4 linked regions of the Lytechinus pictus genome follow. The protein of the gene in region 4 purifies or fractionates together with the protein of the main gene of each other region. This does not show direct contact. Links are inferred from orthologs where the notes say so. Each region holds a gene or a part of one and is shown on either strand. Other genes may lie near its edges.

Evidence for each region.
Region 1: the proteins of KRR1 small subunit processome component homolog (region 4) and protein KRI1 homolog purify together in Homo sapiens (affinity purification with mass spectrometry; 3 studies listed by BioGRID and IntAct, with this or other methods). This does not show direct contact. The link is inferred for Lytechinus pictus from reciprocal best matches to the Homo sapiens genes KRR1 and KRI1.
Region 2: the proteins of KRR1 small subunit processome component homolog (region 4) and ATP-dependent RNA helicase DDX18-like purify together in Homo sapiens (affinity purification with mass spectrometry; 3 studies listed by BioGRID and IntAct, with this or other methods). This does not show direct contact. The link is inferred for Lytechinus pictus from reciprocal best matches to the Homo sapiens genes KRR1 and DDX18.
Region 3: the proteins of KRR1 small subunit processome component homolog (region 4) and ATP-dependent RNA helicase DDX24-like purify together in Homo sapiens (affinity purification with mass spectrometry; 3 studies listed by BioGRID and IntAct, with this or other methods). This does not show direct contact. The link is inferred for Lytechinus pictus from reciprocal best matches to the Homo sapiens genes KRR1 and DDX24.

The regions. Positions count from the first base shown.
Region 1 is NC_087255.1:3,240,806-3,248,048, forward strand, and holds the start of protein KRI1 homolog, read left to right. Parts: upstream 1-4,229; 5' UTR 4,230-4,250; coding exon 4,251-4,362; intron 4,363-7,243.
Region 2 is NC_087248.1:10,997,072-11,004,423, forward strand, and holds the start of ATP-dependent RNA helicase DDX18-like, read left to right. Parts: upstream 1-4,350; 5' UTR 4,351-4,556; coding exon 4,557-4,560; intron 4,561-7,352. UniProt on the Homo sapiens protein: ATP-dependent RNA helicase that plays a role in the regulation of R-loop homeostasis in both endogenous R-loop-prone regions and at sites of DNA damage.
Region 3 is NC_087261.1:25,557,178-25,564,247, forward strand, and holds the start of ATP-dependent RNA helicase DDX24-like, read left to right. Parts: upstream 1-4,049; 5' UTR 4,050-4,265; coding exon of another isoform or gene 4,266-4,271; 5' UTR 4,272-4,442; coding exon 4,443-4,676; intron 4,677-7,070. Other genes in the region: uncharacterized protein LOC135157277, read right to left, coding at 1,092-2,584, 3,655-3,757. UniProt on the Homo sapiens protein: ATP-dependent RNA helicase that plays a role in various aspects of RNA metabolism including pre-mRNA splicing and is thereby involved in different biological processes such as cell cycle regulation or innate immunity.
Region 4 is NC_087253.1:12,255,044-12,263,064, forward strand, and holds the start of KRR1 small subunit processome component homolog, read left to right. Parts: upstream 1-5,015; 5' UTR 5,016-5,036; intron 5,037-8,021. Other genes in the region: putative ammonium transporter 1, read right to left, coding at 1,115-1,229. UniProt on the Homo sapiens protein: Part of the small subunit (SSU) processome, first precursor of the small eukaryotic ribosomal subunit.

The sequences.
Region 1 (7,243 bases), on a different chromosome or scaffold from region 4:
AGGATGACTGTTGCGGTATCCCGGGCGTTACGTAGCACATTCTCGTTTTGCTGGCACTGACTTTGTACGTGCCCCCCCGGGGGGCACTCGACCAAAAAAGTGGTAGGGGTGTGCCGCGGGCGAGGCAAAAAAACGGGGGCCTTGGAGCGGGCTTATTGTAAAAAGGAGGGTCCTCGGAACGGGCTTGGGAACTACAAATGTTTGTGAAAACGGGGGTCCTCGGAACGGATCTCCGTATGTCTGTGAGTGCGTATGCATAGCTATGGAACGGGCAATCGTGCATGACGCAGCTAGCGCGGCCTCCGCCGGGTGCGCTCGCGCTTAGGCGATGGTCGAAAAGCGCTCTACGGCCGCTTTTCACCAAAATTGTAGCAGATCAATGCGACCGGAACGGCGTAACGAAAAATATGCGAAGCTTTGGAGCGGATTTCTTTCTTCTTTTTTTTTCTCGATAAGAAGGAAATACTATATGCCTGCATGGAGCGGCTTTCTTTGTTCTTTTTCTCAATAAGACAAAAATGCTATGCCTTGGAACGGAAATTTGAGTGTAAAAATGGGGGTACGTCCCCTCCGCGGCACATACCCACTATATGCATTATATACTGAGTGCCCCCCCCCCCCGGGGGGCCGTAGACTCGCCCCATGCATGAAGGTACCTCCGAAGGTTATCTTTCTGGGAGGGGCTTTGTAGGATGGCTGATGTGCAGGACTCTGTCACCATTCAGACATGATGTTAACTGCCAATATTATTAACTCGTAGTTTTTGGCGCAGAATGTCCCCTGGTATGTCGCATTTCATAGCCTTGGAGGTTGGAGCTCAGCTTTGATGAGCTCATCGCCGACTGATAGGGGGATGTCCTTGATGATGATTTTTGTAAGGTTTTCATCTCTCAGTCTCGTGAATGGATTTACATCATAGATGGGATATCGCCCCTCGAATGGGTAGACCATCCGCAATGGGCTTTACCCGTTCGTCGTGTGAGTTGAGATAAACTCTCCATAGTCGGCGTATCTGCTGAATTCCTGTGATGTTTTCGGTAGAAACAACTTTTGACAGGTAAATGTATAGTTCCTCCGACGAGAGAGCCCTATCCTCGAGTATTCCTCACATCGTCTGCACTGACGAAGGAAAACGGGTTTAGGTCCCTTCGGTAGCAATGATTCTGGGCGTGGCTCTATCTTGCTAGCATACATATTGTAAGCGTTCAAAAGTTAATTCTAAATATCAGGTTCAGAATTCAAATGATACACCAAATGTCACAATATAAATGCTCAAATTCTCAGATGCTTAATTGATTAAATATAAAACATTTCAAGATGTACAATTCGTTCTAACACAGAGGCTTTACACATCATCGCAAAAATATATACATGAAATGTTTTTAGCAAATACTTGAAATGTTAAATGATCTAAAATATGAACAAGATAAAACATACATAATAATTATAACTTTCTTAATGAATACCTTAAACATGTTAAACTTTCACAATCATTTCAATTTTTGGTGAAATAAATAAATAACTGTACACATGTATAAGTCTATTATAAGACCATCGAACAAATTCTTGAAAATGTATTTATATTACTATTATCTTTAATCATAATTTCACACACCTCCTTAAAAAACATGCATCATGTATCATTTGTCACTGAAATAATTTGCTCTTAGCCAATCAGATAGCTCGTATCAGTTGTCAGTGAAATAATTTGCTCTTAGCCAATCAGATAGCTCGTTTCATTTGTAATAATTTGCTCTTAGCCAATCAGATAGCTCGTTTCATTTGTCAGTGAAATAATTTGCTCTTAGCCAATCAGATAGCTCATATCATTTGTCAGTGAAATAATTTGCTCTTAGCCAATCAGATAGCTTGTATCATTTGTCAGTGAAACAATTTGCTCTTAGCCAATCAGATAGCTTGTTTCATTTGTCAGTGAAAAAATTTGCTCTTAGCCAATGATATAATCAGAGAGCTTGTATTTTTTTACCTTTGCCATTTTTACCTCTGTCATTTTTACCTTTGCCATTTTTACCTCTGCCATTTTTACCTCTGCCATTTTTACCTTTGCCATTTTTCCCCTCTGTCTTTTTTACCTTTGCCATTTTTACCTTTGCCATTTTTAGCTCTGTCATTTTTACCTTTGCCATTTTTACCTCTGCCATTTTTACCTCTGTTTTTTTTTACCTTTGCCATTTTTACCTCTGCCATTTATACCTTTGCCATTTTTACCTCTGCCTTTTTTACCTTTGCAATTTTTACTTCTGCCTTTTTTACCTTTGCCATTTTTACCTCTGCCTACTTTACATTTGCCATTTTTACCTCTGCCATTTTTACACCGAGCCGTCCCGGTCCTATGTCAAAACTCAAAGTAATTATAATAAAAAATATCAGCTCGTTTAGCGCGATCCATATCCACCTCACAATTTTCCTACAAAGTGCTTGAAATATAGAGCTGAAATTGACTCTTTTTCTATCGGTATATCAAACAGTTTAAGCTCGCGCTTCACGCTCGCTTTGATTTTCATGATAAAAGGTGTATTGAATGCCTATATTCCCTGAATTGAACCCCTAAACAGCGATATTTTAGTTATGTCACGGACGTACGCGGTCGTCGGTTTTACCTTAAAGGGAAATCCAACCCAAATAAAAACTTGTTTTTATAAGAAAAATAAAAATCAAACAAGTTGATAGGTCAAAGTTTGAACAATAATGGACAAACAACAAGAAAGTTATGAATTTTTAAAAGTTGTAAATATTGGTAATTACTATACCCATGGGGACTTCAAATTGGCCGCATATGGGATGTCATATAGTGATGTAAGGCAAGGACTACTCTTCCATGTACTCCAATACATATTATGGCTAAAAATGTAATTTTTCCAAAAAGTTTTATTTCAAATTATATTTTTCTTTCATGAGGACATAAAACAATATACTACCTGGGTTATATTTAGATTACTACCACAGGGGAATGGGTACTTAGGAGAAAACCACAAATCCCTGATAATAAAGTACATGGCCTATGGGAAAGTTGTCCTTGCCCCTTGTCATAATTTACTTACCCAGTTGCCAATTTGAAATCTACATAGTATTAGTGATCTCAATTTTAAAGCAGCTATAACTTTCTTATTGCTTGTCCGATTTCTTTCAAATTTTCATCATTCTGTTTAATTTATTTTTCTCCTTCCCAACACATCATTCAATGGCCAAGGCTGGATTCCCCTTTAACTACATCATTGGGTATACAGCCCAACCTCCCACACCTTGCGCAATTCGGACTCAACACGGAATTGACGGGGCAAAAAGTCCGGCAAAAAGTACTGGTACATCCTTTATAAAACATTTTAGTTTATACCCTCGCAAATCTGACCCTAAACACGTAGCTTTCCTAGCGATATACATGTAGATACCTTTTTTTAAAAATTATTTTAGTGTTTTTGACACCCTTAATATTACTTTACGTACGTCAAAAGACATAATTTTTACGTGTTTTTTGGTCCCGCATGCATGGTATCTACTCGTCAATGTAAGTGGTCCCTTTGGCCCGGGGGGGGGGGGGGCGGGGAGCAGTCAAATATATATTGCTGTACACACCAAAAATCGTGTTTAGGGTGTTTTTTTCAGTTTTGGACGCGGTTTGCGCGTGGACTCGTTAAGGGTATCAAAAACACAAATTTTTAAGAAAAAGGGTGGTTTTGAAAGACTGGTCAATGGTCAGTCATGGGGTCGAACGTATTTATGGTATGTTTTTTCCCCAAGGCTTTTTTTTTTTTAAAGACTAGCCAAACGTGTTTAGGGTATGGCCCCCCGGCCCCCAGGTCATATTGGCGACAACTTGTTGAGGGGCCAAAATGTGAAAATATAACCTGCAAAAAAACTTGTTTAGGGGGGTATTTTGCACACAGGGAAAAACTCGTTTAGGGTTTTTTTGGAAATTCCTGGGTCACGCATGTGTTCAGCAATATTTGACTGGCCCCAGCCCTGGCCCTCTGGGCGAATAATTCAGAACCTATTTGGGAACCCGGGTGCAAACGCTAGATGAATCCCATTTGGGGTAAGTGGAATTCATGTGGGTCCCATAATTATGAGTAAAAAATTGAGTAAAAATCGTTCCCAGGGCCCTGCAGCATGACATACCTGCGTTAAGAATATTCTAGGTCAGTATTTATTTGGGGGTATAAAAAGAAGTTTTTCATTTTTATTTTGTTTTCTTGTATAACAGCGACACCGTAGTTGACGAGATTCCGAACATGTTTCGTTCCAAAATCCAGACCATGGCTGATGAAACAGTGGAATTCGGCATTAATAAGAGTTATGCACAGAATTACAATAAATGGAGAAGGAAAGAAGAAATGCAGAAGTGTAAGTAGTTATAGATCACTTCTGGTCCGAAACAAATAAGTTAGATCTAGTATCTAGATGAGTTGGCATCATCACCTCGAGGCTCGAGCGAAGTTCGTGCAGGCTCCACTCCACTTCACTACGCCTACGGTACCGGTAGGTACCGGTACCGGACGCTGCCCAATTCTCGCTCACCCTCACTTGAAAAAAGCGCGATGCGCACGCTGCTTATTATGATTATCATTTTAAATTCGTCCCAAATTCCTTATTGTTTAGTATACTCGCATAATTAAGCAGCCAAGCAGTAGAGGCGCTGGTCAGAAAATTGGGATCGTCCCAGTTTACAGGGACTGTCTCAGTTTATAAGGATTTCTTCACACAAGAAATCTAGGAAAGTTCATTCACCTGTCAAGTGCCGACACCATTCAAGTGTGCTAGTCAATGTAAACATATCGGGTTTCATAACAAGATTATTGGAAGACAGTAAGTCATGAAAAATAGACGGTGAACTGGGGGGAATTGAGGTCACTGAATCTATTTTTAGCACTCTCAATTCCCGTAATTGCTGTCTTTGTCCCGTAGGGGGAAGTGAAAAAAAAACGTCCCCATAATAAACAAGGACAGTCTCAATTTAATATCAAGACATGATTTGTCTTGGTTTATGAGGATATCCTTGTTTTCTGGGACAATCCCAATTTTTGGACCAGCGCCTCTACTGCCAAGAGGAGACCATTACATGAAAAAACCAAGTGTGGAAAAATAAAATCAATCCCTTTAAATTTATAATTCATCGTGAAATACTGCTTTAAATGTAACCCGATAACTGTTTGAACTTCGATCAACTGTACCGGTACCGCAACTGCACCAAATTACGTTTTTTTTCAATCACTTTAAAAACTCCTAAAAACAGTGAAAAATGTTATATTCTTATATGATGAAAGAAAATGTGAGAGTCGTAGGTGCGGGAGATCCTGATATGTCGTCATGACAAATTTTTCTAGAATGAATATTTGTTGTGTGAATGAATTAGCGAGGGCATACCTTGAGATAGCAGCCTGCCCTAACTCCGCTCACCCTGATTGTGTATGATAATCATTGTAAGAGTATAGGGCCTAAACGGAATTGTCATAATTTTTCAAGTAGACTTTTCTTTAGAATCTGATTTTTTGTGTCATTTCCTCTATTTTGATGGTGCTGAACATGAATCCGCTTGTTGCCAGTTTCATAAATGCCTCCTTCCGCCGTTGCCATGGCAACTGATTAATATGTTTTTAAAAAATAACATATTGTGCCTATATATATGGCACATTACCCTGTCAATTTAAATGGTCCAATCTATCATTCTTAAGCCTTCCAAATTCGATTTCTAGATATAGGCCTATCAAGTCATCAAAGTATTTGCAAAAGATCCATTGCCATGGTAACGGCTTATCTTTCCCGCAGAAAAATACAATTGTCTTGATTGCCTGCCGAGACGGCGCCGCTTTTTCCGACGGCGCCGCGCGGGCGGCGTCGTAAACATTGAAATCTTAAAACAGGATATGTTTGTGAAATGTAATCATAAGTTTGAAATAGGCCTACAGGTTTTTATAGCTATCAATGCCTATCATGAAACTTAGAAATAAGGGAGTCAGTGAAAATCCTATAGTGAGTTTCAGGTCATGCCACGGTCAAAGGTAATTTAAGGTAAATGAACTTTGGCCAATGACGTTGGGGGCATTTATTGAATTGCCATCATAAATCAACATTATGGTGGGAAAAGATGAATGGTGGAAAATGACAATGAAAATGCCAAAATTTATATAGGTTTGACTAATTCATTTGAATTAAATATCGAAAACAACAGAGTGTTCTGCATGGATATAAGTTCATTTGAATGCATGGTAATGGTATGTTGCCATGGTAACGCCTGATTACTCTACTAATTCAACTCGTGAATTTAATATGAGATAAAAATTAAGAGTAAACAATGTAGGAATGTCTGAATTTATTTCAGGTCATAATTCAGTATAGGCCTACCTCATAAGAAACATCGCTTCAATAAAAATAGTGGTAATATTTGCTTGTACAACTTTCTAAGAGAAATCAGCTCGATTGATCAGCCTATATTATTATGCTCATTATGTTAGCTAGAGCAGATTATAACTGTAATGCATGAATAATAAAGTCAGTCTTAAAAGAGATCGAAAAGAGATCGAGTGTCATATAAATTCATGAACAAATTTTTTTTGCTTGTCAAATTTTCCAGCCCCTTGCCTCACCCCCTACTTTTTGGGAAAGATTTCCGCCCCTGATTCAGAGAAAAAATGAGACATTTTAAGCACTTTTGTAATGATGTTTTATCTTACAAACCGAGAATGACTTGAAAACAAGACATGAATAATGAAACAAACGGGCAATGCGGGCACGAAGCGCAGGCTGAATAGTTATTTTGTTCTAAATGAAGGGTACAGGTATTTGTCAGTCCCCCAACTCTCATTTTCGTCTTGTCTTCTTCCTTTTATTTTCCTTCCTCTTAATCTTTTTTTTTCATTTCATTATTTTCCTATTCCGGCCTCGATTGATACCTCTTCCGTTGTATTTTTTGCGACGCGGCCATTTTTTCTTCTTTATACTCTTTTACATTTTCCTCTCTCACTTCTCCTATGATTTCTTCTCTATCTCCCCCTCTCTCTCCCTTTAGCTGAGGGTGACGGCAAAAAAAGCCCCTCGGTCGTCAACGATTTATCATGGAGCAGGCAGATAAGCTGATGTTTACAGAAATGTTGAAAGATGATCATAAGAGTTTGTCACTGAGTCACCAGAAATATTTCGAGATTTAATTGTAATCATTGTCCCAGTCCAAAGTGTGTGGGAAAAAGTTTTACAAAAATTATCTTGCTATATAATGAATCGTAGGGTC
Region 2 (7,352 bases), on a different chromosome or scaffold from region 4:
CATGCACGTGCTGTACTGTCTGGACGTGTCTGGAGTGAATCGTCCGATATATATTTGGTCACATTACACTCGCTACACCTTCAAATGGGATCGTACTTGGAATATTTTCATTTTCATGACGGGTTTCTCCCCATTCCCCAAATCATAGCCAAACTTCTCATTTCTCAACTTCTGAAACATAATCACACTTCTAACAAAGATTCAAGACAAGATTTAATCACAGTAACAGTAACTAATCACTTACATTCATCACCAGTAAGTTTTACTGCAAAACACATCGATTCATAACCGACCACATACCGGTACTCCGCGGGCGCACATCATAAACCTTTCTGGCACGATAACGCCTTTTAAGTATTGTTGTTTACGTGATGATGGATATCAAAATTTATAGTGGATATGCCATTTAAACTGAAATAAAGGAAAATGTGTGTTTTGTAATTTATATATTAAATATTAATTCATGAAAGAGATTTTCAATTGACAATTATCATTCTTTCATAATTCAATAATTCTACCAGAATAAAAAATGAAGTTTTGATCCTGATATAAGTTTCTACGAACAAGTTATCAAAATATAAACATACGTGAAATATTTAATATTTGCAAAAACACAAATACAATTGACATCTAGATAATGGACAGTTTCATTCTAATTAATCATTATTATTGACAGTTCAAGAAAGAAAAGGGATGATTCATTATTTTGGATTTGATAAATAAATCAAAAGAAACAAAATAAAACGGCCAATCAACATGTATTTGACGTTTACATGATTTCAAAATTATCTTCATTCTTCATTCATATCGAAAGTTGATTTGAGAAAAAAGTACTGAAAATGAATATTTCGTTACACATTTCAATTTAAATAAATTACAAAAAACAACATGACACACGCAGCCAACATTCATTCGACGTTTTCATAGTTTCAAAAATAATCATCTTCATTGGTAACCAAAGTTGCTGTGAGAAAAAGTAGAATTCATTTTGCATTTGATGAATAAATTACAAGAAACAACATGACACACGCAATCAACATTTATTCGACGTTTTCAACTTTTCATAGTTTCAAAAATAATCATCTTCATTGGTAACCAAAGTTGCTGTGAGAAAAAGTAGAATTCATTTTGCAATTGATGAATAAATTACAAGAAACAACATGACACACCCGAGTAACCCGATCAACATTTATTTGACGCTTAAATGGTTTCAAATTATCTTCATTCTTCACTCGTATTGAAAGTCGAGGTAAGAAAATATACGATGAGTTATGCATTTGAAATCATCAAAACATAAGATGGGAAAGAAAAACGATCTTAAGCGACACCATAGTAAAATCGCCATCGTTGTCAGAACGGAAGTTTCCTCCATTCACGGATGGTCATGCTCCAAAACTGATATAAAAACGATGGTTTTCGGCGGGAATATATTACCGAAGAAGATTAATTGATATTGGTGATTATATTGGCGACTAAAACTTATAAATTTTGTTGGTGAGTCTTACCAAATTTAATGAGTTTTTGTGACAGGAAGGTGGTGAATCAGTGTCCACGGATACCCGAACCCGAAAAATGAAAACCGTTATCCGTCCACGCGGGCGGAAATCGTTCGGATATCTGTTTGGTGGCAGCACTAGTCCCAAGAACAACAGATATAAAGTAAACTTAAGAACTCTGCACCTCTGTAAAATTTGGTGATTATTTGCCTATCCCTGTTCAAGTTATATCATTTTCGCATTTTAATTAGGCATTTTTCCCATTTGTTATGTACAAATGAATATTTAATTACTACCTCATTTGCATATTATTGTATATATGCTCACAAGATCAACATATATGAAAAAAATTACAAACACTACATCTGTGTGAAATTTGTGATTACCGTAAGTAACGGTGTATTAACCGCACCTTTTTCTCGGCGGGATATAAGCAAAAGTCGGGGGTGCGGTTTATACACGGTGACGGGTCTGAGCCCGCCCGCGTAGCCCCTCCCGAACATGTAAGAAGTCTGCCAGTTCACAACACATCGAGTGGCCGGCCGTAGCCGCCCAGTGCAATGTCGTTTAGAGGGGTATGAGCCGCGGGTAATGGGTAGCAATTATTATGATCTTATGATCAAATACTGTCGTAACAAATGCACCCACCTTCATGACACTAATTTCGACTTTATTCTCGATTCAAAGCAGCGAAGTTCCCTGGCTAAGTTCATAGAGACGCCAAGCATTCTCGGTAATAATTTGTCACAGCTGATTTTGGTTTTAGTGCGACTTAAGCTGGCGCTATTCATTTAATTTAACCCCTCAAAGTCCCGTTTCGCGCCAGCTTATTTTTTTTCTTTCCCGTACACCGTGCACCACGCACGATAGAGACGGCACGAAGCCGTCAAACAACTGGAAAAAATACAAATTTCTTTGTTTCTTGAACCTTCCTGTAATCCCGTATCCAAAATTCATGCTAAGACATCGAATGCTAGACAAATTCTGAAAGTGATTGTGAGGTTGTGATGCAAGAAATGTGAAAGACACAGATCACAATTTGATAAGATGTACTGGTAGTGGTACCGTATCGAAGTTTGAAATGTACATGTACAAGAAAGGCAGTGCTGTGTGTGTGTACACTGTGACTGTGAGGTGAGTGAGTGTGTAAATTGCCAATATTGGCGGGACCTTTCTTTCTTGCTAACATTTGTAGATGAATTGATCAAGAACAGCAGATTTCTGCATACTGGTAATCTCTTTGAATACTTTGAAATCTTTAACTTAGTTTTTGTTTCTTCGTACCTAAAATATGCATGTAAATGTGAGGATTTTTTTTTTTTTTTTTTTTTTTTTTTTTTTTAGTCCAAAATTGGGGGTGCGGTTTATACACGGGTGCGGTTAATACACCGTTACTTACGGTAATTGCCCATCCACTTTCAATTTAAGCCATTTTCACATATTAATTAGCTGGACTTAGTCATTTTTTGCCAACTTCCTCTGGGTCCAAAGGTGAAAATTTGTGTTTTCCCCATATTTTGAACTCCGTTAATATGGTGTTTAACATGTTAGGAACCCCCAAGGAAAAGCAACCTCTATACTTCATCAAGTTTTAAAATAGGTAGCTTTAAAAATTGCAAAAAAACATATTTTTGCCACTTTTTGGCAGAAAATCTGCCTTATTTTTTAAATTTGAATTGGCCGTATCTCGGCAACCCCTGGTCCAATTTTTATTTTCTTGGTGTCATTTTACTCGTGTTTCAGAGCTTATTCCAGATAAACTATTTAAAACTAGATTAACAACACTTTAATTTTTGGGGTGACGTCCCTACTAAAAAGGGCACCGTAATCTAGATAAGGGAATTAATGAAAATTTCAATTTTATCCAGTTATGTTTTATGAATCTTTAAAGATTTTTCTCATTTTACCTCATAAAGTAAGCTCGATCGATACATCAATTCTACAATCAGTAATAAATAAAAAATTTGATCTCCTTTGATTTATTGAAATATATGATTTTATAAAAAGTCGTCATTCAGAAATAAAACTAAAAGTAAAACTCAAGGTTCATGTGACGATGAAGACTAAATATTTTTCCGATACTATCCGATCGATATCAAAGTTCAAACTCAAAGTTCAAACAACGTCGCGGACTTGAGTTGAAATGAAAGACAAAATTGCCTTCGACTTCGTGAAACGGAAAGCGCTGATATTATTATTAGTGATATGTCGCCAATCTTCCTATCTCGGAAGAATGGTCCTAAGGACGTTCCTACGTATCGCTCATCTCGTCATGCAACAGGCCCATGGATGCTAAGCTTAGCTCATAGCTGTCTGTCAGTTCTGATCCCCCGATGGCGCGTTGGCGATCGATGGGATGGGTCCCGTCGCTCCATCTCCATCTCCATCTCCACCGGCCTGCCGCGACATCCCCGCTCGATCAGTTCAGCCGTGCTCCTCTACTCGCGCAGCTGTAATCACACCATTGGACAACCACTGAACTTATAATGATTTATATTGCTTTAAGGATTAATAATTCTCAATTGTATACTTACAAAATTACAAAATATAAAGAATTCGCATCAGAAAAACAAATTCTTACCACTTTTCCGTGATTACCGTGGCACTGGCAAGTAAAAATTGAGAGATCAATGAAGGTCTTGGAATAATCTATTTTTACAAGAGGGGATAATAACAAAGTGCTGGACAAACGAAAATTATGAAATAGGGTTTGTCTGTTTCAGAAAATGCATACAGTAAAATACTCTGAAACTTTGAAAAAGAAATAACCACATGCCCATTTCTTGCATCTAATTGAGTATAATATGGAGGGCTTTTAAACTTAATTTAATAATATTTTTCCAATGGTTTATTAGAACCCTTCAATAAGTGTTATTCGAACAGTCCTTAAAACAACGCACAGGGAACTTGCGATTTGCACGTGTATTTAAAGGACGTCTGTGCAAGGCAATCTCAAGAAATTGGAATCAACCAAGTAAATTAGATATTTTATATATATTATACATATTCTTCTGCTTTGCGACTGAACTTTTGTGGGTATTAAAGAGTGTGGACTAAGAAATGGGTGAGAATTCATGTTATTTTGTTATGAAATTGTTCGTTTACTTTGTTGTTGAAACGATATCTTTTACCATTTTGTCGTGTGTGGTCCCGCGTGTTATAAATGGTGTTTCTGAATCTGATGTAACTTAACCATCATCAACTGTACGTGTATACTGCACTGTATGGATATGGATGGCACGGGGGGGGGGGCACTCGATCAAAAAAGTAGGCCAAAAGTAGTGGGTATGTGCCGCGGGCGAGACAAAAAACGGAGGCCTTGGAGCGGGCTTATTGTAAAAAAAAAAGGAGGGTCCTCGGAACGGGCTTCGGAACGACAAGTGACGAAGTGTTTGTGAAAACGGGGGTCCTTGGTCTTGAAACGGGTCGCCTGCGTGTGATTGCGTATGCATCCCGATGGAACGGGCCTCGTGCATGCAGCAAGCCCGGCAGCACGGGCGCTTGGTGCGCTAGCGCAGATGCGATGGTCGGACAGCGCTCTGCGGCCGCTTTTCACAAAAATTGCGGATCATTGTAGCAGATCAATACGGCTGGAACGTCGTAACTGAAAATATGCGAAGCTTTTAATTTGGAGCGGATTTCTTTCTTCTTTTTTCTCGATAAGAAGAAAATGCTATGCTTTGGAGCGGCTTTCTTTGTTCTTTTTCTCAATAAGACAAAAATGCTATGCCTTGGAATGGAAATTTGAGTGTAAAACTAAAAATGGGGGTCCCCTCCGCGGCACATACCCACTATGCATTATGTACTGAGTGCCCCCCCCCCCCCCGGGATGGATGGACAGTGGCGGACCGTGACCTGGAGGAGACAAAGCATTGGAGGGGCACAGCATTGTTCACAAACAATACAGTGCCCCTCCAATGCTTTGTCTCCTCCGAATCACGGTCCGCCACTGTGGATGAATTAAGTCATTAACGACTAACGTTACTTACAATTTACATCATACTAATTACTGTGCATTTGATTTTGTACTGATTTCTGATAAAACTAAAGCAGAGGAAGAAGAAGATGCATGATGATCGGGTGTAGATCTAGAATAGGTTCAGCATTAACCTGGTTTAACTTAGCCAGGACCAGGAGGCTCCTAGAGAGTAAAAATCATTTACTAACTAACGTAGACTCTCCACGGAGCCAGGGATTCTATTGCATTCATCTACACATACCGCCAAAAAACCTCAAACTTTCGCCCCCGAGATTTTTACTTTCCTCCTAAATAATCTAGCCCTGAATCATGTAAATGGGATACAACTTCATTTCCGACATTTCTACGCTATCAATTTCATTTTTAAACAAGAATTCATCAAAAAAAAAAGAAAAATATTATGAAAAGACGAGGGAGACTCGCCCGATGTTTACGCCGCCATCTTGTTTTCTATTGTTCTTCCCCAACGTTACTGACTGAAGAATTGACATTAAAAGAGAGAAAGAATATTGATGACCAGGACTTGGGGACGAGAGAAGAGAGAAATAGAAAAAAAAGAGGGGAAGGTCGAGACTCGGAGAAGAGGATATTGATTGTTTTTGGTAAGAGAGCGAGAGAGGGGTGGTGAAGGGGAGAGGATGGGTTGATTGGAAAGAGAGAGTGGGGAATTAAGGTAAGCAAGAGACTGGAGATAAAGAAAAACAAAATCAGAATGAAAGAGTGAATTGGGAATTTACACGATATTAGATGGTATACCGGTATTGAAGCAATTAGGAATACTGGTATTAAAAATATCAATACTGAAAAAGCTTACCCAGGATATCGAAAATTCTAATTGAAAAGCTTTGATAAAAGCCTAACTTCACAAACGTAGAGGGCAGCAACACATGGCTGCCAGTTTTGCATCTCCCGCAAACAATTTTAAAATGTAAGGAATAAATCATTGGTAACGTATATTTTCAGTATTTTATTTGAAAATAAGTAGTATAAAAAAAAAGCTTAAGAGTATAAAGAAAAATGTGGCCCATCATTAAAGATGATATGTCATTTAGACCTAAATAAAATTAAAAATCAAGACAAAACACTATAGGCCCAAATTGGGCGACATGATTACACATGCGGGCTGGCACTAACATACTACTGTCGGTGAATGGGGATAGTAGTAAGATGTCAGAAATTGTCAAATGTATCCCCTGAAATGATGGTTATTCCTGTCTACATTCTGTTTTACTTGTATGTTGTAATTAATAACTAATTATTCTCAAATCTCGATCTCATGAGCTGTGTCTAACTTAAAAGAGTAATGCCATTAATCTCAGTCCAAAATACTGGAGGGATTACCAAAGAGGTACCTCAGGTGATGATTCATGTAGGCTCCACTACACTTCACTACCGCTACACCTACCCAAACCATCAGGGTACATAACTCGTTCTGAAACTCCTAATGACACTTTATTTCATCACTTTATGTGATGAAATCATAAAACTCATGCAACAATGTGACCTTACAAACAATCAAAAACTAATCTTCTTGCATTTCATCCTGTCTCACTCCTTGTCCTTGCTTCTGTCAGGCTCAAAATTGGTGATTTAAAGCCAGTAACAATTTCCTCGCACGTATTAATTCACTGCCGATTCCAAAACATCGCAAATGCAAATTGCGCATGCGCGGGTCGGGGTTTGCAGCTCAAGATCATGAATATTCATGAGTATTCCTATAGATCTGGATTGTTTCGCTATTTGCATATTCAGGGAAGTTTATCATGAGAAAAAGCTTAATTGTATGTATAACAGAAAAAAAAAAAAAAAAATATTGTTGAAGGTTTGAGAAAATCCATCAAAGAATAAAAGTTATTAGAAGTTTAATTATTGGATTT
Region 3 (7,070 bases), on a different chromosome or scaffold from region 4:
CTTTCAAGTATCACAATAATATTACAGATGCTGTTTCATTAGATATTTTAATATATTCCCAATTTTAGCATAATAAATTGAATTTTTAATAACATTGATGTTTAATACATTTCTATGAATTCTGACTTCAAACAATTTAACAAAAAATAACTGTAATCTTCATCCCATTTCAAGTAGGTCATGACAAGGACAATGAGCAACAGCCAAGGGAATCAAATCGAGAAAGGGGAAACTGCAGCCAGACACAAATGAGCGGACAACCTGATGAGAAGGGATAAGAGGGCATTCAAGGCATAGTAAAAGCCATTGGACAGTCTGCATAAGATATTCTACCTCATTCATTGAACTTGTGTTTTTTTTTTAGCACAACAATAATATAACAGATGCTGTTTCATTAGAATTTTCCAAAATCTGCCTGGTAGATTTTTGATTGCAGGTTTGTATAAACTGTAAGAGTAAAAAATTAATTGGTGGACTGGTACAAAATTTTGAAAGACATTCATATTATATGTACCACAAACTAGTGTCTCAATATGGCAGGAAATATTACAATTCAATGTTTTTATGTATTGCAAAAGATGAAGTAATCTTGATTTACTACAAAAAGAGCAGCTATAAACATGTACTGAGTAAAAATAATTTGTACATTAGTGTTATTCCCTGAACATAATTGTAATTGGTGGATTCATGCAATAAATGCAATTACATTGAGTAAAAACGAAATTTATTTTCGGTGTGTGCATGAATAGTTTCTTTTCAAACACACAAAAAAGATAGCAAATTTATTTCACATACCTCTTTATCTGTCGACATGGATGAATTACTGAATTCCAGAAGATATATGTTCCATTACTAAGCATTGTCAAACCACCATAGAAGTCTGATATGTAAATAATTTGTCCAAATAATAAAGGTTAGTGATCCATTAAGTATTCATTTCAATATCCTGATGAATTGATAAGTAATCTTTCTCAAATCAATGCTATAACTCTGAAGTGAACTTGGGCCAAAATCTCTTGTGCAGAGTTCATTTTCAGTTAAGACATCATTTTTCTTTCCTTTGTACAAATGAATAACTTTGGCTGCCTTTCTTACATGAGCTCCAGACAATTATCTTCCCATTCCTTCTCAAGAGGATATGTGTACAGGTTCTCGTCATTGTCATACACAAGGGTGTAAAATGTATAACCTTTGTCGAAATATTCCTGATCGTTACATTCCATCAAGTCTTCAATGTCCTGTTGAGTACTCTTTCTCAACACTCTGCCATGGTATGTGACAAGACGTTTGCCACCTTCAGGAAGAAACTTGTGTTTAATTCTTTTGTGTAAAATGGTAGTTTCAGGAAAGGGTTCTTTGCGCTTTCTCCCTGTCACTTTTGATAGCAGTTTCTCTCTTAATGCCTTCCTTTCTTCTTGAAGAGTGTCACTATCAGGGAATGTGCAGGATGTACCAGATTCAGCATCTTCTGACTGACCGATGGGGGCTGAATGAACAACCTGAATTATCTCTTTTAAGTTGTCACACAGGTCAGATGCGCTTAGGGGTTTACCAGCCTTTGACTTAAAAAACAAAGCACCTTTGACCAATCCTTTGTTAACAGACTTGTAGTAGTCAATCTGTGCCAACAGAGCCTTTCTTTGATCAGACGGAGCCTTCTTAGCCATCATGGACTCCACATCAGCACTGGAGGTACAAGGACCATCACACAACTTGTTTACCATCTCAGTTGCTCTGACTGCTGTTGCTACTGATTTTCTCTTCTTTTCTTCTTTTGCTTGTTGCTGTCTGTCCATCATCTCTTGCCTTTCCTTCTTCATATCCTTAACCTTGTCTTGGTACCTCTTCATAACTATTCTTTTATTCTTAGTGGCATCATCAAATGTGCTCACGATGTCCTCGTTGCTGTCATCTATAGTAGTCAGGGGAAGCTCACTGTCATCTTTAGTAGTCAGGGGAGGCTCATTTCCATCAGGATGGTCATCTTCCAGTTGCTCTTCATTGATGGGTCTTTTAGTTGGATAGCAGTAGGGAGTTCTTAAAAATTCCTCCAACCTTTCTCTTGATGAATCTCGGGACAATTTGATCCTCCTTGTGGCTACACTTTTCCAACTACTTATAACAGTTCCTCTATGTGGTACTTCACCAGTTTTTTCTGGAAAAAGTGCACACCACCACTCATCAAGAACAGTCTTCCAAGGAATGGAATTTCGTCTACGATAATGAAATAGCTCTACAATGATTCCATTTGAGATATCTCCTTGTAAATTACTGCATCCTTCTTTCAACAAACCAGGAGTAATTCCCAATTGCTGACATGCTGAACCAATAACACGATTAGACCCAGACAAGTCTGTATATTCTTCACATAGGGATTCTAAGTTATCAGCACTGATTGCTTTTAAAGCACTGCGTTTCACTTTGGACAGGATTCCAGGTAATGTGCAGTTAGGTTCTTTGATGCCCATGCTCTTCAAAATATTAACAAAGTCTTTCCGGAAGCTCAAGCTCTCAGTGTCATCAACACATTTTCTGATGATTTCCATTAAGCCAAAAGTAGGCCTTGGGTCCTCCCACCAGTGATCTGTAATTAAAAGAAAAGGAAGAAGAAAAAAAAAATGTCAATGTAGGTTCTTTGCCTGAGTGATTTAAAATCAACGGCATACTAATTACTATATTTACTCAAATAATTGAAAAAAAATATCAATCAATTATTGATCTAAACTTTAATTATTGACATTAAAAAGTGTTTGCTACCTTAAATAAAAGGATAATATTTGCTAATTTAAGAGGGAAAGTCTGGATTTATAAAATAAAAATAATGTGAAACTTGAAAATAAATGCACATACTGTAGACCAAAACAAATATTAGGACTGAACCAATATATGTGTTTCTTAAAAAAAAAAAAAAAAAAAAAAAAAAAAAATTGGGCAGGGGGGGGGGGGGCCACAATTCTTTGTCAATGAATTAAAAAAAAATAATTATGAACGGGCACTAAACAGAGAAAGGGTTTTAAAATTGATAGGGGAAGGATGTGTTATTCACAGCAATGGTATAAAGAAATTCTGAGAATGAGAAATAATTATTAGCTTATAATAATTTTTAAAGCCCATTTGAAAGTATAATTTGTTTCTTTTGTAATTATGTCTCTTTGAGGCCCCCACCCCCTCCCCCTCCCCCCTAAAAAAAAATTAATTAATAAAGGAAAAGAATTGGTTATGGGCACAATTGAGACAAAATAATTCAGTAAATATGACCAAACAATTAATTAAAAGTGACAAATTTGACTTTCAAGTCTAATTTCTTGAATTGCCTGACATCACACAACTATTGATTTGAAAAACGTACGAGGAAAATGAAAACAGTCGTTCCAGAGGGAGGGAGAGAGGCAATGGAATATCCATACCTTAAACTGCGCATGCGCAGAAAAGAAAAATTCGGTCGGCGAATGTGGCCGGTCGACTGGAGAAATGGCTGTGCAATTTTGCGCGCACTCCCTCTGCACAATCACGGCAAAATTGTTCATTAGATATTTGAAAAAGATCGACATTTTTCACATTTCATGTCACAATCACAACCATTTCACATCATTTCATAATAAAAATCCAATCAATCGGGTATTAAGAATACGTAATCGGCACAAATCTACTCACCAGGACATTTCCGTTCGTGTACAAGAGAGTGAATTTCATCGGCAGTCCATCCGGTGAGTTGGAGTATTCGTGTATGTTCTGCGCTGAAGTCAGCGGATGCCATGATTGAAGTCAAGCGCGTAGTACCTCGAAATCGTGAACCAAAATTTGGTTTGCTCAATTCAAAGCCATTTCCTTGCTAGTTACACTCATTTTCAGGACAAAATAATATCATCCCTAAAAAATGTAACAAGTACTTCACTCTTCGGAAATACACTTGAATACCGGAGATATGAAGAATCCAAGCCACACGGTAAAATCGCCTGCGGTGTGACCATAAATTGGTTTCCACGGAAGCAGAATACAGGGTCATGATCGGAAAGGTCACGATATCCTTATATGGAAATTTCATGCACATATTTAGAGTGTAACATGTGAGGATCGTTGATTTTTCTGAGGGGATGTTTTTAGTCATTTTCAGGGCGTTTTCAAAAATACGCGAAGTTAAGCGCCACGCGTCATTTCCCCCCAAATACCGGCGGTGTGCTTGGAGTTAAATATTGATTAGAAATATGAATTCTTCATGAAAAAAGGTGAGAAGCGAGACAGAGCATATTGACAATACAATAAAAATGGAGGTAAAGAAATTAAAACTATATACTTATTTTTAAACTCACAGGAATGTTTTAAAAAGTAACAAAAATTATGTTCACGCAGGAATGGATGAATTTAGCATTTCAAGCAGACTGTGTGCGCATACGCTGTGCTATGCCTTAAATCAAGTTATAATATAAGGTTATCAAATCAAGATGGCGACTTCCATTCGACACGTGAAGCGGCGCGAGCGCTTGAAGAAATACAACAAAATGAAGAGAGAATCACGAAAACAGCCCGCTTTTCTAGATGAACAGAATTGGAAACCTTTCGAAGTGGATATGTCAGCGTTTGCTGACGAAGAGATGGGTGGATTCGTTGGAATGGAGGTTTTAACTGATTACGATCCAAACATGTTTAGAAAACTTACGAGTGGGACTGTGGGAAAGGTAAGCATGCGCATGCAGAGTGAAGGTGCTCCGCTCCGCCGCTTACTGCGCGCTGCGGCAGCTCGAAAAAGACGCCGCCGATGATTCAGGCGGAGCTGGGGCTCAGCTCAGGATAGCCCAAAAAGCTTCAGTCTCTGTATTTTGGTTGTTCAGCTGAACTGCGTTGGCTCCACTTACAGTAGAGGCGCACGGCCAATATGGGAGACTCTCTCCAATAGGGGAGACAATCTCCCACATGTCATTGGAGACTTGCTTTGCAAAAGGACAAAAGAAACAACACCAACAAAAGCGTGATTATTTCCACCCAAAATTTTGTCTCACTGAGGTCAGAAGCCCATTTGTTTTGTGTGTGATTGACAAGAAAAATCCTTATCAAAACAAAAGTAGACGTAGACAGCTGGCAGCCGTCTGTTTTGAGGAGTTTTTTAACATTTTTTTTTTTAAGTTCTCCTCATACACAGACGGCTCGCTAGCGTGCAGCCACCATTAGGGGACTTGCAATGCAAAATCCCCCCGTCGGGGCTCTTCAATTTTTGTCTTTAATCAATAAACATTTTGAAAATTAATGCGACCAAAATGCAAATTGATATTCCCTCTTGGCATTAATTGCCAAGAAACGGCGAAAAATCGAGTTAAAAGGAACAAAAACAGTGACTTACCTCGGCTGTCGCGCAAATTCACTTCCCCGTTTTATCCGATCTTAAGTACATAAACATATGGCCATTGAGTCCCCTGTACAGATCGCGCTAGAACTTCGGTCTCTGTATTTGGTGAGTGAAGCCAACGGAGTTCAGCTGAACAACCAACATAACAGAGACCGAAGCTTTTGGTCTAAAGTAGACGGTGAATTTTTAAAGTAGACGGTGAAAAGGGGTAATTTTTCATTAGGAATCCCCTTATCACATTTTTATTTGCCGCCAAGGTAATCCTTTTGCAGCAAATGTAAACAAAGGAAATTGGTCTCCAAAACTGGAGACCGTCTCTGAAATTGGATACCCAAATTCTTTACAAAAGTCTCTGATATTGGAGATAATCTCCCACATTGGAGATAGTCTCCAATATTGGCCGTGCGCCTCTACTGACTTAGCATGGCCCTGGAGTAGCCTGGAGGCTTGTCAGACACAGACGGCTCGCTATCGTGCACGTGCAGCCACCATTAACGTTAGTCGTTAGACTTAGAATAGATCATGTTAACATTAAACAATGCAAAATCCCCCCGATGCGACGCGACAAGGCTCATCGATTGTTGATTATTTGTTGTCTTTATTCAGGGCTGCCAACTCTCACACAATCTGAGCTGCGTGAGTCGCACACAATTCACCCGATTCTCACGCTGACCGTAGCCGTAGGAATTCTCAAGCTAAACCCCGAAAATAGAGAGAAAAAAAGTTTAATACCTGAAGACAGTACCGAGGTTTTTTACCTGACTGCTAAGAAAGCATGAATGCCTGTGAGCAAGCAACCAGGGGACCAACGGCTTAAAGTCCTTTCCGAGGGACCTGGTAATGAGGATTAAATGCCTTACCAAGGCAAAGGGCACTAGCGCACCACTTGGGAATCGAACCCGGGTCACCGGAATCCGAAACCCCCGCTCTACTGAGCTATCGCGCCTCTTTATTAACCTATATTGGATATTCAATAACATTATAACACGGCCAGGCAAAAGTTTCAAAGTTTTTAACCACACAAGCGCAAAGCTAAACCATCAATGCAAATTGGTTTCGGTTTGCCGCGCTAAGACAAGATATTGAGTTGCGATTGGCTTACTGTACCCCGCGTGAAGAGCTGGTGACATCAAAATTTTACTATGAAGCTGGGTTTTTGAGCGAGGCACAACGAGCGATCGAGTGTCAATGCAATGCCATGCCATGGCGATAGCCCGCCGGCACGGCGCTTTGAATACATGATAGCCCCACATATGCATTTGTGTGTGTTTTGATACACTTGGTTTCTTTCGTAGCTTTATTTTAAATGAGCCAAAAAGAAACTGATAATTTTTATATGATGATACTATCATGATAGTTATAGCTTTCTTTATATCTTTCTCTCCTTCTTTCTTTTCAATCTTTCTTTGTTTTTTGTTACTGTCTTTCTTTTTTAATTTTCCTTTTTTTCTTTGTCTTCTTTCTGTCCTTAAAAAAAATATTTTTCTCTATTTCTTTTTCTCTTTTTTTTTATTTTTATTTTTATTTCTTTCTGTCTTTAATTCTTGAGTCCATCCATCCTATATCTATCTCTTCTTTCTTTCTTTCTTTCTTTCTTTGTTTCTTTCCTTCCTTCTTTTTACCCTTTCTTTCCTTCATTCTTTGTTCTTTCTTCCATCCATCCTTTCTTTACCCCTTCTTGTTTTTTATTTCTTCCTTTTAGCTTTTTTTCTCTTTCATTAATTCCTTT
Region 4 (8,021 bases):
TTTTTGTTTTCCTTATTGGTTTTCAACCAAAACCGAAGTATTACCATGGCCCTGATAGGAAAGCGGGGATATTGAAGCACCAGCAAAAATGTTCTAAGGGTGCGCATGCATTACCCCTGCATGCCCTCTGGAAATTAGGTTTGTATGCTTTAATGTAGAGATTTGACCCAAATCACCTTCATTTGAGAGTAAGCCCTCCTTTGTTTGCTTGTCATTTTCTTCTGACCAAAACCAAGTTCATTAGGGAGCAAAAAACCCTTTGGGGAGGGGGGTTATCAATTTTGCTCTGATCAACCAAAATCACCTAAATTTGAGACTGAAAACTTTTTATATTTTGCTTGTCAAAATTTTTCTTACCAAATTCACCCCCAATAAGTTTTTTGTTTGCTAGTCAGACGTTTTTAAGCAAGCCAGCACCATGGGCAGCACCCACTCTTTAATTGCCATTTGTATACTTATAATCTCTCTGTGTTAAGTTATTTATCTAATTCGGTACAAATAAAATGAAAGTATAATACAATGAGATGATATACATAATAAAAACAAGTTGATAGAAAATTATACAAGCCTCAGTGAAAATCATGAATATGTACGTATTAATATGAAAGAATACTGTGTAATCTGGGGCCCGTAACCAAAAGCTTAGCAATGATCGTAGAACACTTTTCTACGATTGATTCCATTGACTACAAAACACAATCAATCGTGAAAATCAAGCGTACGATTAATCGCTAACTTTGTTTTTATACTTCGTAACTCTGCATACTGTATATGCAAACATACTTTTACCTTTGCTATGTTTCAATCGTTTATTAACTTGTCATATATATCACAAATTCAACTGTATATATATATATATATATATATATAAATTAAAAAAAGTGGGTGCTGCCCAGGATCAGGATGCTGGCTTGTTTAAAAATGTCTGACTGGCAAAAAAGAAGCTTATTGGATTGGTAAGGAAAATTTTGACAAGCAAAAATAAAAGTTTTCAGTCTAAATATATATATATATATATATATATATATATATATATATGTTTGTATACCTATCTATCTATTAACCTTTGTGTCTAAAACTATCTCACTCGGACACAAAAGTTTTATATACTCACAGAATATGATACAGGACATCACCAGAAGAAAAAAATGATCCATGTTTTCCCTGAGATAGCCAAAGTCATCTTGGAGTTGCATCAAAGCAAGTTCACTTCCATTAATTGGCGGCATTCTGTGGTAAAACAAACGTTCCTTCTGCCTTGGAGAAAGTAATCGAATCAACCTTAATCAGATACACCGCACATATAGGACGTGAGAGTTCTGGCGCCTCGTTCAGTTCTGGTGGAAGACTCCGAACGCCAGTGAATGGGTGTCCATTCTCCCGCAGAATGCGCACGCAATAAAAAGCTGCTCGCTCCAGGATCCAAGCGTGAACACAAGGTCACGTGCATCGATTGGGACCACGTGGTGGTATTTTAGTTCCGTGAATGGAAACTTTGATAATAGTCTACAGGGGCGGATCATGCAGCCTTCGCCAATAGGGGGGGGGGCCCGGATTTTTTTTCAGCCATATTTTCCCCGATCGGCCGCTCGATTTTTGGTTTCTTTGAAGGGGTAGCCCTAATAGTCACTTTTTAGCTTTATTCTTATTACTCAACATAAATACATGATCCTTATTTATATAATGCGAGCGCGAAGCGCGAGCTAATTTTTTTCTGGAAATCTTGTGTATTTTTCCCCTAAAATTTGAACATTCTGGGCAATGTTTGTTATCCTGAAAAAGATGTGTATGCAACTAAATAATTACTACGAACACGAAGCGCGAGCAGAAGTGAACTGATGGAAAAGGTACCTGTTAAAGACTGCATGCAGTTAGCCATGAAGTCGTTACCTATTTTAAAAATCAAATAATTCGAGCGCAAAGCGCAAGCTGAAATTTGTTGAAATTTTTACCCGAAGAATGGAAATTCTAAGCACTTTTTGTAACTTGAACATAATAGGTATATAACTAAACAATTAATGCGAGTGCGAATTAAGCGCGAGCGGAAAAACTAGAGATTTAGACCTAAAAAACGGGACACTCTATTCATGTTTTGTAAATAATGAAAAGAATGGGTAATAGGGGATCTTTCTACATTAATAATGAGAGCACAAAACGCGAGCAGAAAATTTATGATATTGTGATCTGAAACTGGAAATAATAATGTCCTTAGGACATTTCATCATATGAAAATGAAGACTGTCTTCTTATTCCTCTTGCTAAGCTCGAGATGAAACAAAAGGGACAATTCAATTATTAAATTAATATCTTATTCATTAATGCCTAATGAGGGGGCGAAATCTGATGATATGATGGCCTGAAAACTGGACATTTCAATCAGTTAATATGTTATTAACCATTAATGCGAGCGCAAATGGCGAGCCTAAATTTTTTATACACTGTCATGAAAAGGGGATTTTAAGTAGTTTGTTGTATAATCAATATTGAGACATACATAACTCGCCAATCAAAATGCGAGCGTGCAGCGCTAGCTGATACGTTTTAACAATCAGACCTGAAAAGGGATATTTTGTAAACTTTATGAAATACACGAAAATAATAGGTACCTGATAAATTTGCGAGCGCGCAGAAAATGCTAATATTCAGAGCATAAAACTGACATTTTTTCAGAGCACTTTAAAAAAATCAAAATAAATTACACAAAATAATGAAAGTTCGATTTCCGAGATGAAATATGTTTTATATATTGACTTCCAAACTTGATATTTAAACTCCATAATGAACAAGATATGTAAATGAGCTAAAAGGCAATGCGAGCGCGAAGCGCGGGCGAACATTTTGTTTTTAATGACATGAATTATTTTCTTAATTATTTTCCAAGTCTTCCCCTCATCTTAATTTATTCACTCGTCTTCTTCTTCTTATGTTTCCCCTTCTTTTTCTCCTCTCTCCTCTCTCCTCTTCTTTTTCTTTTTTTCTTTCTTTCCCCTTTTTTTTTCTTCTTTTTTTGCTCCGCCAAAAGGTGGGGGGGCCCGGGCCCCTCGGGTCCCCCTGGATCCGCCTATGGTCTACAGACTTCTCAAAATTTAGATGGTATAGGAACGGTTTTACTTTTTGATTTAAACCTGTCTCCCACTATTTACCGGGCAGAGGAAAGCGACTCCGGCATCATCACCCTCGCTGTGTGTGTTTTTTTTTTTTTTTTTTTTTTTTTTTTGGGGGAGGGGCAAAAGTGGATGTTTAGGAAGCGAGGGGTTTAAATATTTAAAAAAAGTTTGTGCTGCCAGACTAGTTCAGCACACTTGCTTGTGTTTCGGAGTTGGGGTTTCCCCCATTTTTTGGTTAGAGTTTTTTTCACGTGGTGTGCAGCTTCTCTTCTTCACTCTCGACCTTTATTCATCCATTCTGATGTTAAAATATCTTGAGGTTTGATCGATTTCAGGATTATCTTCTTTTTATTCTAGTCTCTGACCCAACAAAAGAAGATTTAGGTGCTGAAAATACATTATTTCAATGTAGGTCTATAAAAAGGGCACTAGAGAGTTGTGACGACCAATCAGGTTAGAGAAGGGGATGAAAGCAAAGGATCGGAGTAGGCAGACACAAAGGGAAGTCAGTGTAAGTAAGGCCAGTAAAAGACCCTAATAAAGCTGTGAGGGATCAAGACAATTGGGCAGGCAACATCAAACAGGATCTGGAACAAAACAGTGATGGGGGTGGAGGAAGAGATGAATAACAAGAGAATTAGTGAGAGGTGGGTCAAACAGGTTACAAAGAAAGGCATAATAAACTGGTGCATAAGAGTGGGGGGAAAGAGAAACAACTGATAATGTGCAAAAGACATATAAGTAAAAAGGATAAAGCAAACAAAAATCCAATTAATAAAGATTAACTTCATGACGTCATCCGCCTTTTCTTTTCATATACATTCCGGACCTTGTTCCGGACCTTGTACCGGATTTGACAGTCCCCTCGACAAAAATATTCATCTAAAGTTGCATGCCACGAATTAAAAGACCCTTTTTCTATCTATCTTTCTATCATCTATCTATCTATCTGTCCATCTTTCTTTCTGTCTTCTTCGTCTTCTTCTTCTTTCTTTCTTTTCTTTCTTTCTTTCCTTCCTTCTTTCTTTCTTTCTCGTCTCCTTCTTCCTTTTCTTCTTCTTCTTCATCATCTTCTTATTCCCCTTTCTTCTTGTTCTTCTTTTTCTTCTTCTTTTTCTTCCTCTTTCTTTCCTTTTCTTCTTTTTCTTTTTTTTCTTCTCCTTCTTTTTCTTCTTCTTCTCCTTTTTCTTTTTCTTCTTCTTCTTTCTTTCGTTCTTCTTCTTCTCATTCTTCCTTTCTTCTTCTTTTTCTTTTTCTTCTTATTCTTCTTCTTCCTTCTTTTTTCTTTCTCTTTCTTCTTTTCTTCTTTCTTTCCTTTTCTTCTTTTCCTTTTTGTTCTTTCTGTCTTTTTCTTCTTTTTCTTCTTCTTCTTCTTCTTCTTCTTCTTTCTTTCCTTTTCTTCTTTTCCTTTTTGTTCTTTCTGTCTTTTTGTTCTTCTTTCTTTCCTTTTCTTATTTGTCTTTTTCTTCTTCTTAATTTGAGCTATGTAAAAATTAAGTATTATTATCATCTTATCTTATCATAGTCACCTGCAGTGCAAGCGATAACGTGGGATCGGAATCGCCCTTGTCATGATATGCATGCTTGTGGGTATCTATGTTCAAGAGGATCGTTGGGGATCGTTTTTGTCTATTGCCTTTCTTTTGAGGGACTATGATTGTGGGGGTATTATGCTCTTCATTGCGAACTGAACCATGATGTTCAGTCTTGCCTTATAGCCTCAAAAAGATGTCCCAAACAACTCTTCCCAATCAATGTTTATTATGATGTATCACGCGTGTTTCGCGTGATCGACCATGCCTTTGGCCCATGGTAGCGCGTCAATAACATAGAAAATGTCGCTAAATTATTGTTTGGTTACAAACATAATCAACTCGACGGATTGTTATGGTTCTCTCTTAAAAAATCGAGAACTAAACAGGTGATAAAGTAAGCTGAACGTTGCCTCTATTTTGTGTTTTTGTTTCCTTTTGTTTGTAGTTTGTGTTTATTTTTTGTTTTGTGTTTGTTTGTTTGTTTATTTTGTGGGGAGATCATTATTTTTTTCATTTTTAAATGATTTCAATAATTAATGTCAAAGATTCAGGGGAAACTGTATGACCCTAAATGCCTTTTACAAAAAAAAAACACCACCATATGTATCAAAATTTACTCTATTTACTCGTTACTCTAGCTGTTAAACGATAATCAAAGTTTTCATTTTTATCTTATACCGGAAAGCATCATAAACGGCCTATAACATACATCATTGTTTCCCTCATCATATAAACACACATTTAATCGCTTTACCCCCATCAAAATGTTTACAACACCTCATAAATAAGAAGAAAAAAGAAGAGGAAGTCATTATTACAACTCACCAAAGCCGTTTTAAAACATTATTAAGGTAAGCAACCGGATTTCAGAACGCATATCAGACAACATTTTACGAAAGTCAAGTGATTATAAATGTTTTTAATGTAATAACATTTATATTCACTGGTAATTAATATTGGTTATGTACCAGCTCAGCTGGCATTATACCAGCAAAAAGCTGTCCTGTCGAGTTCCTTCGGAGTTACCATAATGAGAATCAGAAACATACTGTGCTTGTTTCATGCATTTCTTACTCCTTGAAATATTAAGATATTATGTTTATACATTTTGTTCAAAATATGTCCAATTTCATTTTACTGTGTTTCATTTCTATACTGAATAAGAAAATGCAAGTATTTTCTTTTATGTGTCACCATGGATCTAGTAGGATCCATGGTGTCTGTGAGTGTGTGAGAATTAATACGACTGTGTTGTGATGATGTAGGCCTATATGTGTTTTATAATTTGCATGAATACACTTTTTGACTGTGATATCATAGGAATACGAATAAACATAATGAACTCTCATTTGACTGTACAAAATGTGCATGCTATGATAACATGGTCCATCGAGCGCATTGTCCTTGACCTTGTGTATATTTCATATCAATTATTACTTGATGCACATGGCGCACAGAGGTGGGGGGCTTTGGGGCTAGAACCCCCCCCCCCCCCAAAAAAAAAAAAATAATAATAATAATAAATAAATAAATAAATAAATAAAGATAATAATAATAATACCACCAAGAAAAAAATGAGAAAAGGAATTTTATGTTAAAAATGTCAAAACTATTGCTCGCTCACTCGCAGCTTTCTTGAACTTTTCCCCGTGCGCCACTTCTCGGACCCTCTCAAAGTCTGCGGTTCATTGTGGCTGTTTGCCAACTTATTAAATCATGGGCTTATATATTTATAATATTTTCCTTTCAGTGTTCGATTATCATTATCTTTATCATCATTGATCATAATTGTATTGTTTCTGTTACATTCGACCTCAATTCCTGTTGCTTAATATTGATTTATTCATTAAATATCTAAATTTCAAAAAGTCAGCAAAAATCAAATTATATTCGAATCGTGATACTATTAATACGAAAATGTTTTTTTAACATGGTGAAAATATAAAACGTTTTCATGCAAGTATAATGCAAATGTAATAAAATGTTATAGTTATTATCATTATCATTATTCATGCAATGAAATGTACGGCGTTATTAGTCCAATATACAACACAGTACAGATAATAGATTCACTGGACTGCCAGGTAGGTTCAAATGAAATTAAATGAACCTTACTTTTGTCATTGGAGATACATTTATTAGACCCTATATGCATTGAATGCTTACAAAATGTGATGTCGAACAAGAATGTCTCTAAATCAGTGTTATTTCTTTGCTTTAATTACTTTGCATTTTTATTTGGGAGGGGGTAAAGGCTGCATATAATACATGTACAAAACGCATACAAAAACACACTGTCCAACGATTGCCCAAACCTTAGTTACGTCATTATTTTTTACTAGTTTACGCTTTAAAAAATGTGGATAAAATATAGTTACTATATGACAGTTCTGCTTGTGATAATGTTAAGAAAACATTCATATAAAATGTGCCGTGCATCGATCAAAATTTTGGAAGTAAAATGTATTCTCGGCTACTACATGGAATTTATTTGTATCGGCTTTGAAGTGTACAGTCAAACACTACGTTGAAGTACAAGATTTAGCTTGAAATAATAAACATTTACTTATACAAAATGGGTTGGGGTTGAAAATACATTTCTAAACATTCAGAATATTCATCAAATTATATCTTAACTTTACTTATTCAACCTTTCGCAGTCATCCACTCAGAATGTCACAGACGGGAAAGGTATGCATAACTATGCCTGTTGCTACTGCAGCAGCAGCTTCTCTACTTTGTTCTGACCTCGCATATAAAAAATAAATAATCACTATTTGGAGCATTATTTATCAAGCGTCAAGCCACTTGAGGCCAAGTCACACATCATTGAATCATTGTGAGACACAATAAACATGTACCTTCAGAATGAATTTTTCCAACTTATTTGCTATTGTAGTTCCCTTTCATACCCCAGATCATTTTTCGATCGTCATGTTATTATGTGTAGTCTAAATCACTCACGTAGTTGCTTTTGAAACAGTATATTTGATGTGAATTGTTTGCAGTTATTGAAGTAAAATCACATAGGGGCCCACCGAGGGTGATTTGTGACGACACTACCGAATGTGCATTGTTATCATTTTTGGACAAACATGATTATACCAGCCGCATCTAATGGAGTTCAAGGATGGCTTAACGTAATGAGCAGAAAAAAAATAATGAAAACAGAATATAAGGAAGCTGAACGTGGTTATAGGGCCTATTATTATGGGACAAAATCCTGGGGCCAAAAGATGAACAAAAAATACTAGAATGTTTGGGATATTTGTTAACTTTATGACTTGACTTTGAATCTGAGCTGCAAGATCCCATTTGCCTTCTGTGTTTGTAAGATATTGATGAAACCTGAAAAGTTGCACCCGAAATATTTATCTAT